Linked DNA regions of Lytechinus pictus. The protein of the gene in region 1 interacts with the protein of each later gene in a biochemical or structural test. Links are inferred from orthologs where the notes say so. Each region holds a gene or a part of one and is shown on either strand. Other genes may lie near its edges.

Region 1 (3,929 bases):
GAAAAAGTCTGAAATAGAAAGAGCTTCCATACTTTTTGTACAGAGGAAGGCCAAAAATAAGCTGAAAATTAAGCTTAAAAAAAAAAAAAATCATCTGAAATCAGATAAAAATCTGATCTCCCACACCCCTGTGATCACTAAGCAAATGCGGGACAGTGATATTAATATTACTTGGAAAAACACCCGACATTTGATGGAATTTCATGCTTATTTTGCTCATTTCTCAGCAATTACTCATTTTCTTCCAGAGCCACTTGGCACATATTTTGTATTCATACATACACACTTGGGTGGTAATTTTATTGGATTTCTGTTCGAATTCATTTTGAGATCGTTACCAAAACTGGTATTTATCTTTAATCAGGAAAAGGTACATTGGAAAACCATGGATAGATAAAATAGGCCCGTATTCTGAACTCAGGTTTAAATTAAACCCTGGTTTAAAGTTGTGGTTTAACTATGGAGAGCCAATTGTGCACAAATTCCTTTACAGTACACATTCATTTTATTAACTCACATGACACCCAAATTGTTCATAATTGTCTTGGAATGATAACTGAAGTATATTTCTTCATTATGAAAGCAAAAGGAAAACAAAAAAGAAAACAAGAAATATATAATATAGACAGAATTTTTGAAATGTTTGGTTCCCCATAATTTTAGCACAGAGTTAGACCATGGTCTATAAACCTGACTCCAGAATACGGGCCATAGGGTTATATAAGAAGCATAATTATCGACAATCGGCCTATTTCTTAATAATTTGTTGCTTGGCTTTTATTCCTTTGGGACAGTATTGAGGGAAATAAGAGACATTGTACAAGCATACTATATTGAGGGGAATCAGAGGTTATAGCAGGTGATTATTTGTTTACCTCTTTTGTGAATTCCTGCAGTTTGTTACAGATTTCAGTCTCGTTCCCAGATTCAAAGGCCGGCACAGCCGACACCAGTAGCGTGTTCATCTTGGGACGCTGTTCATATGACGAACTTGCCTTGGAAATACAATGTACTTTGTACCTCTTGAGATGTAACCAGAACTTGCACTTCTTCAAATCTGTTCACTATGGAAGTGGAAAACAAAATAGAAAGAAAACATGATGAGAGTTTGTGCTGTGAACACATATGAAATGTGCATGTCTCTTCCTTATGGCCGAATGCAATCACTGTGCATGCACTTTTTCGAATCTGCTTTTAATCTGGAACTTTGAAAAAAATACAATAAGAAAGTGTTCTTTACCTGTGTATGTACATAATACTGAAAAATTGGTTGACGATCTCTGCACTTTTCTAGTAAATAAGGTAATACAGTCTCACCTTTCTTATCCGGCCTCCCCTTATTCGGATCTATTATCCAGACAGACACTTGCCAAGATTTTTTTTTCAATCTAGTACACGGGGAAATGAGATTTCAATTTAAACTCAAAATTCCTATGCAAACTCACTTTGATTACCGTATATACATTTCCAATATAGTCTACCTACAACCACATTATTTTTTATGAAAATATCTTACCCAAATCACCAAAAGAACTAGACAGGATAATTTTCCAGTAAATCGGGGAGCAGCGCAACCATTTCATCACGTTCACTCCTTTTTTTCCAGGAAAAAAACAAAACATGTCTCACTAGATAGTGCGAGGCCTCGATACAGACAGCGCCATCTATCAATGTTTGAGCCTACAGTCATAACAATGGCTGACTTCCCCAACGTTACGGACGCGAGCGTCGCGTAACGTTGGGGAAGTACAATAAGAAACAAGATGGCGGCGTAAACATCGGGCAAGTCTCTTCCGTCTTTTGACAATATTTTTTCATTTTTTTTGATGAATTCTTGTTTAAAAATAACAACGAGAGCGTAGAAATGTGGGAAATGAAGTTTTATCCCATGTACATGATTTAGAGCTAGATCTTTTAGAAGGAAAGTAGAAATCTCGGGGGCGAAAGTTTCAGGGTTTTTTGCGGTACACGCAGATGAATAGGGAGGACTCCCTGGCTTCGTTTAGAGTAAGCCTACGTTAGTAAATGATTTTTACTCTCAAGAAGCCGCCTGGCTACACTGCACCACCATCATCATCATCATCCTCATCATCATCCCCATCCCATCAGCATCATCATCATCATCATCATCGTCATCCTCCTCATCATCATCACCACCACCAAGTCCAAGACCAAAACACCGACATCAATACAATTGTCAATCATCATCTTCGACTTCGTCATCAACACAATCATCATCCATTGATAAAAATGATAAAATTAATAGAGGCTAGAGCTACCTGGCGATTCAGTTTCTGTCCGTCCTGATCCTGTGCTGTGCAATTCGAATCAAGACAATCATGAGTCATGACAATAATTTTAAATAATACTCAAATTAATAGATGATTCGTTGTGGACGAACACAATAGCACTGCCATATTGCATGTACAAGTTTAACAACATGATAATATCCCGCATTCCATTACGATTACGGGCCGCGCCGGTAGCCTACCGGCCTAACACCGCCGACGTGACGCGAGTCACCCCCGAGTGCCGGGCCAGGTAGATCTACCACAAGACATCGATGGTTGAGCCGCGGGTTTGCGTGCAGTCGATTCTCGACCATTTTGCCTTTTGGGGGGACATGATTGCCTTGTTGGCATTATCAGTTTCATTATTTCTCAACTAAACTTACCTCACGCTGTTCTGAACATCTAATTTGGGGTATTTGAAAGACACTGATCTCACTAACAGCTCATCAGGCACAACGGAAAAATAGATGGCTCGTCAACAGGATCAACATCAAAGAAATTTCATGTCGATCGACTGTTCTGATTTTGCATCACACAATATAGTTTGTATTGACATCCCTTATCTAGTTCTATTTTGTGTAATTAATGATTTTTGAAACACTTGATTTTGGGGGTAACATGGGACACCCCGGGCCCGGGGTGCAATCCCCCCCCCCCCCCCCCCTCAGTGTTATTTAGGGTACGCCTATGCTAGTTCCCTCCCTTTGAAAGCACCCCCCTATCGAAGGTCGGCCAAAATTTCTGAACCCGGCCTCAGTTCGAGGGCTTTTCGCTGCATGGCCTTTTCTGCTGTGGAGACCCCCCTAAATCCAGAACACTGCTCAATGTACCCCCTATCTCAGGTGAGCTCTCATTCCAACAAAAGGTTCGTACTTTACTTTTTCAAAATGAAATAATCCTGAATGAGCCTTCAAAACTAGCAGGAATTTCAGAATTTGATCCCGGGATTTGATCAAATTTTCTATGATATTCAAGATATTTTACAACCGTTTAACCCCCTTTAAAATTTCTCAGGGTTCCAAAGAGAGAGTCAGAGAGATAAAAAAAAACACCCCCTTTTTGAAGAAATCTCCGGTGAAAATACAAAAACATCCCCTTTTTTACAATTCGCGGGCCGGACTTGTCCCGGGAAAAAGGGCCCTTTACCGGACATTTTGGGAACACGCATGCGGTCCTTCCGACCTCGGATTGGGGGGGGGGGGGGGGGGGGGGTGCACATCAAGAGGTGGTCAAATTGGACATAAAATGGGGGTGAAATGGGACGACCACAAAATAATCAGTAAACGCACTTCGGAGATTGATGATATAACAAACAATTTTGAACGAAGATATAAGACAAAAAGGGATGATTTTGTGACAGAAGGCCCTTTACAAACTCTAACAGTTAGTTGGTTGAGGAAAAAAAAACATAGTCGCAGAACATTTTAAAGTTTTCCCTCTATAATGAATTGCATACACCATTCTCTCCTCAGTTTCTTCCTGAAAGTTCCTTTTTAATATAGTAACAGGTAGGGTTAGTCTGGTCTATTAAAGATATCATCTAATAGATGATCTACATTTATTCTTAACATTTTCTTATATGACAACTAAATTAACATTTTAACATTGGTAAATTTATTACTAATATGAAAATTCAAC
Region 2 (3,929 bases), on another chromosome or scaffold:
CTCCTTTTATTCAAATCAACTTTTTGGTGGGGTGGACTTGTCCTTTAAATTCAAAGCTACCAGTTGATAGAGCAGGGGGCTACATGTATGTACATATAACCCTCAATTAGGGTCACTACATGTATCTTTAATAGCATGCTATCTTTGCAGTGAACCATGGAGAAAAGCTGGATTTTTCCTTGAGGTCATACTTTTATTGAGCAGCATTTCCAATTCTCCTTCCCTTTTTACCTCCATTCTAAAACCGGTTCTTGTTCTTCTTTGTTAGCTTCAGAGAGATCCTACATATATGTAGATTACATGTAGAATCAAATGGCTGAATTTTTTGTTCAAATATGACAATCGTGAAACTATGCAAATGTCTTGTAGATTTGCTGCAGTGAGCAAAACACCAATCCTTGGTTAAAATGGGACTGGGGCAACCAAAAAAAGAGAGTCAGGCCACCAAAATTCTGTTAAAACCCACACTTGGTGGCCCGATTAGTCCACCAAAATCATCAATTTCATATTTTTTGGTGACCAGCAAAGCAAATTTGGTGTCCCTAAAACAATAGACAACATTACAATTTATCAAGACTTTGGTAGCCCAATCAAGCCACCAAGTGTGGGTTTTAACATAATTTTTGGTAGCCCGACTCTTATTTCTGGTTGCCCCGGGCCAACAGGCCACTGCTTATGTCGAGCCCTGCCTCAAATGTCTACTGTCTCCAGCACCAGAGGCTATCAAAAACCTACAATTTCAAAGACAAAAGTTCTTCGGTTTGGAAGACGGGGCCCTATTTCTTGGACGCATCAGCTCCACACACTCTCTTTGAAAAGTCAAGGTACACCCTGTACAATGTACATGTACATGTAGACAATACCCTAATTCGACAAAGTGCAGGCGCATGGACTTTACACATGTAAAGCACATATCTGTTCACAGACCATTGTTCTCGAGCTTTGCTTTCCATTGAGAGTGAGTCTATCTGGAGTTCTTTGTTTTCATGATGCTGGCCCGTTTTCTTTATTTTCATTTTAATATTTGGGTATTTGTGATTCTGATTGGTGGAACTTGAAGTTTTGTCAAATTCTTAGAAAACATTGTTTTTGATATGATTGAATTTATGAAAGTGATCAGTAATACATCACTTTCCTGCGTTTGTTTTCTTTGTTGGTTATTCCAAATATAAAAGAGCACATTAAATTTTGTTTATGAGTATGACATGTGGGAACGCTGCATTTCATGTCAGTGCAAAAACGCTAACACCACACTTTCGTTCATCACATCCGCACAAAAATGCCATTTCTGCACCGATGTGGTTGGCGATGTTTCGCTAAGGAGTACGGGCTTTCTTGCACCAACACAATTTTTTGCGTAATTGCTTTAGTTGATCTTGTAGCAGCTGGATTTTTTACACATATCTAAGCAACAACTTGCGAACAGTCACAGCTCAGAGTCAGAGTCAGAGAGGTGGTCAGTGGTCAATAGTTACGACTCAAGACAAAAGGTGGATCAAGTGAAAAGCAAGTACCAGTAGCTAACATGATAATAATGTTAAAACATGTTTTAGAATTTAATTTTCATCCATTCATCATATTTTTTGTTATTCTACAGATATTATCATTCATTTGACTTCATACAGCAGCAGCAGTGAACAAGATTCCACACTCCACTGCACTGCTACTGCACTGCCACTGGCCTGGCACTGCACAAATCCAGCTCTGTCACTTCACACTTCATGTTGTTATGACTTATGTTAACACATCATTTGCCTGTGTGATTAAATTTTCATTTTTCAGTAGGCTATGGTGATCCACAATACGTACCCAAGAGCAATAATTTTACTTCTCTAGCTGCTTTTTCTCCTTCTAACCGTAGATTTCTGTCAATCATTTTCGACCGCTCAGCGGCCGCTTTATCTTCTGCGCTCGTAGCGCACCCCATTTTGGAATAATAAAATAACGTTTATGCACAGTCCAGTAAGTTAAGAACAGCCGGTCAGACACTCGGTCTGAATGTCTACAAACCGTCGATATATCCTCTTTATTCTCCAAACTCTAGAGTCCTTGGTAGTTCCATTTAAAATTGGTTATCCTGATACAATTGCACCGTCCAGCAGTGTCCAAAACAAGTTATTTTTCCGCACAAAAGTAATGATATTCCGTTCTGCAAGCCTTTCTTCCGTAGAAATTCACCGTATACCACCACACCCCAGTCGAGTCGCGCGTACACACAATACACGTACACCGTACCGTACCACCGGCACACTTTTGCTACACAAGATCAACGGCGAAGCAAAATCGGTACCCGCATAAAATCGCTCATGATGCTTTATCGCGGCCGACCTCTCAGATCGCAATACGAACGTCGTACATCTCTGTGAAAGGCATTATGGGAAATGTCCCGGATTCGAAGCGATATAACAAATTATACACCAGAATTTCAGAAAGGATAAAAATTTGATTGGGCCTAATAAAAAAAAAATTTGGTTCCTCGACCCACGGATCATGGCCCTGGGAAGCAGGGGGTGCTAAGGGTGCTAAAGCACCCCCCAAAAATTCCTTGGGGGTGCAGTGCCAGTGTGTATACTTTATTATTCTCCTGAGGCAGCACACCTGGTAACTTAAACGTTAGGCCTATTCTGGAAGAATTGTGTAAAAATGTAAAAATTATATTTAGATAACCAAAATGACATTCATTTTGTATTGAAAGCTTTGGCAACTTTTAATCCGCATTTTAACGTTAATTAGGTCTGTGGGAGCCTAACTGTTAGATCTATATCTAGGTTTATCCTCGGTTTTAGAAAATTAGGGACATAAACCATTTGCACACAACAGTAGCTGTAGCAAAAAAATATATATTATCCACGTCGTTTTAATATTTTTATTTGTTTGAACCTATGTATAGGCCTATATAATTATACAGATCTATAGCCATTGTTCTTTTCATTCATTTTTTTCAAATATATTTAAATACAAGAGTTGCAAAAGCTATTGTACATGTATAATTTTTTTCACATTTAACATTATATATATATATATATATATATATATATATATTGTGAAAAAAATGGATGAAGAGAACAATGGTAGGCGTAGCTTAAATCAAAGTTCCCCAGGGGGAATATATATATAGGCCTATATATATATATATATATATATATATATTTCTATACATCTGTGTTTAAGGCGAATTATTTTTGTCTTCTTTCGTTGTTTTTAATGCGCCTTAACGCCATCTACCTTCGTCTTTACGTCTATATGTGTATTATGACAGAATAAACCCATTCATTGACTTCGCCCTTTCGTAGGATGTAGGCATATATATATATACATATATATTTCGGCCATATATATATATATACTCAATATATTCAAGTACAACTGAATATATGTATAATGATTTTTTTTTCTTCCTACTATTTTCATTCCCATTCTTGTTGTTCTTCTCTTTACCCATTCTGTGTACCGCCAATAGAGGGCAGCTTCCATTCCAGCATTGGTCCCTTTCATTTCTGTATGTTATGGGCCTATGATAATTTTTCAGTGCATAGATCAGTATTCCCTTTCCTTTGAAAAGAAAACAAATATTCAGGGGGTAGGGCATTTAAGGCCGTATCGACATGGTGCCCCCCCCCCCCTCTCCCCTCTATCTCTCTCTCCCTCTCTCTTCATTTCCCTTTCCTTTCTTTTTTCTTTTCATTCCTTTTCGGATGTCTTGCTTTCCGGCTCCCGAACGAGCAGGTAATTACACATAAGAGGCGATCAAAGACATTATTCTTGTCCAATTTTTTTTCTTTTTTGTCGATGTTGTTAGAGGGGGGCACAATTCTTTTCCTTTTTTTTGGGGGGGGGGAAATATGACTATGAAATAATAAAACGTCCGTGAATACCCTAAATATCAACCTACACACAAGGACAGGGGCTGTCCGTTTTTAACTTCCCCC

What was found.
Region 2: of the proteins of synembryn-A-like (region 1) and guanine nucleotide-binding protein G(i) subunit alpha, one has a biochemical effect on the other in vitro, tested with the Caenorhabditis elegans proteins (2 studies listed by BioGRID). The link is inferred for Lytechinus pictus from reciprocal best matches to the Caenorhabditis elegans genes ric-8 and goa-1.

The regions. Positions count from the first base shown.
Region 1 is NC_087253.1:23,120,102-23,124,030, reverse strand, and holds the start of synembryn-A-like, read right to left. Parts: upstream 3,085-3,929; 5' UTR 2,675-3,084; intron 1,065-2,674; 5' UTR 966-1,064; coding exon 876-965; intron 1-875. UniProt on the Caenorhabditis elegans protein: Chaperone that specifically binds and folds some, but not all, nascent G alpha proteins prior to G protein heterotrimer formation, promoting their stability and activity.
Region 2 is NC_087247.1:11,665,343-11,669,271, reverse strand, and holds the start of guanine nucleotide-binding protein G(i) subunit alpha, read right to left. Parts: upstream 2,372-3,929; 5' UTR 1,928-2,371; coding exon 1,810-1,927; intron 1-1,809. UniProt on the Caenorhabditis elegans protein: Guanine nucleotide-binding proteins (G proteins) are involved as modulators or transducers in various transmembrane signaling systems. In the 1-cell embryo, probably together with gpa-16, controls nuclear rotation and spindle elongation during mitosis.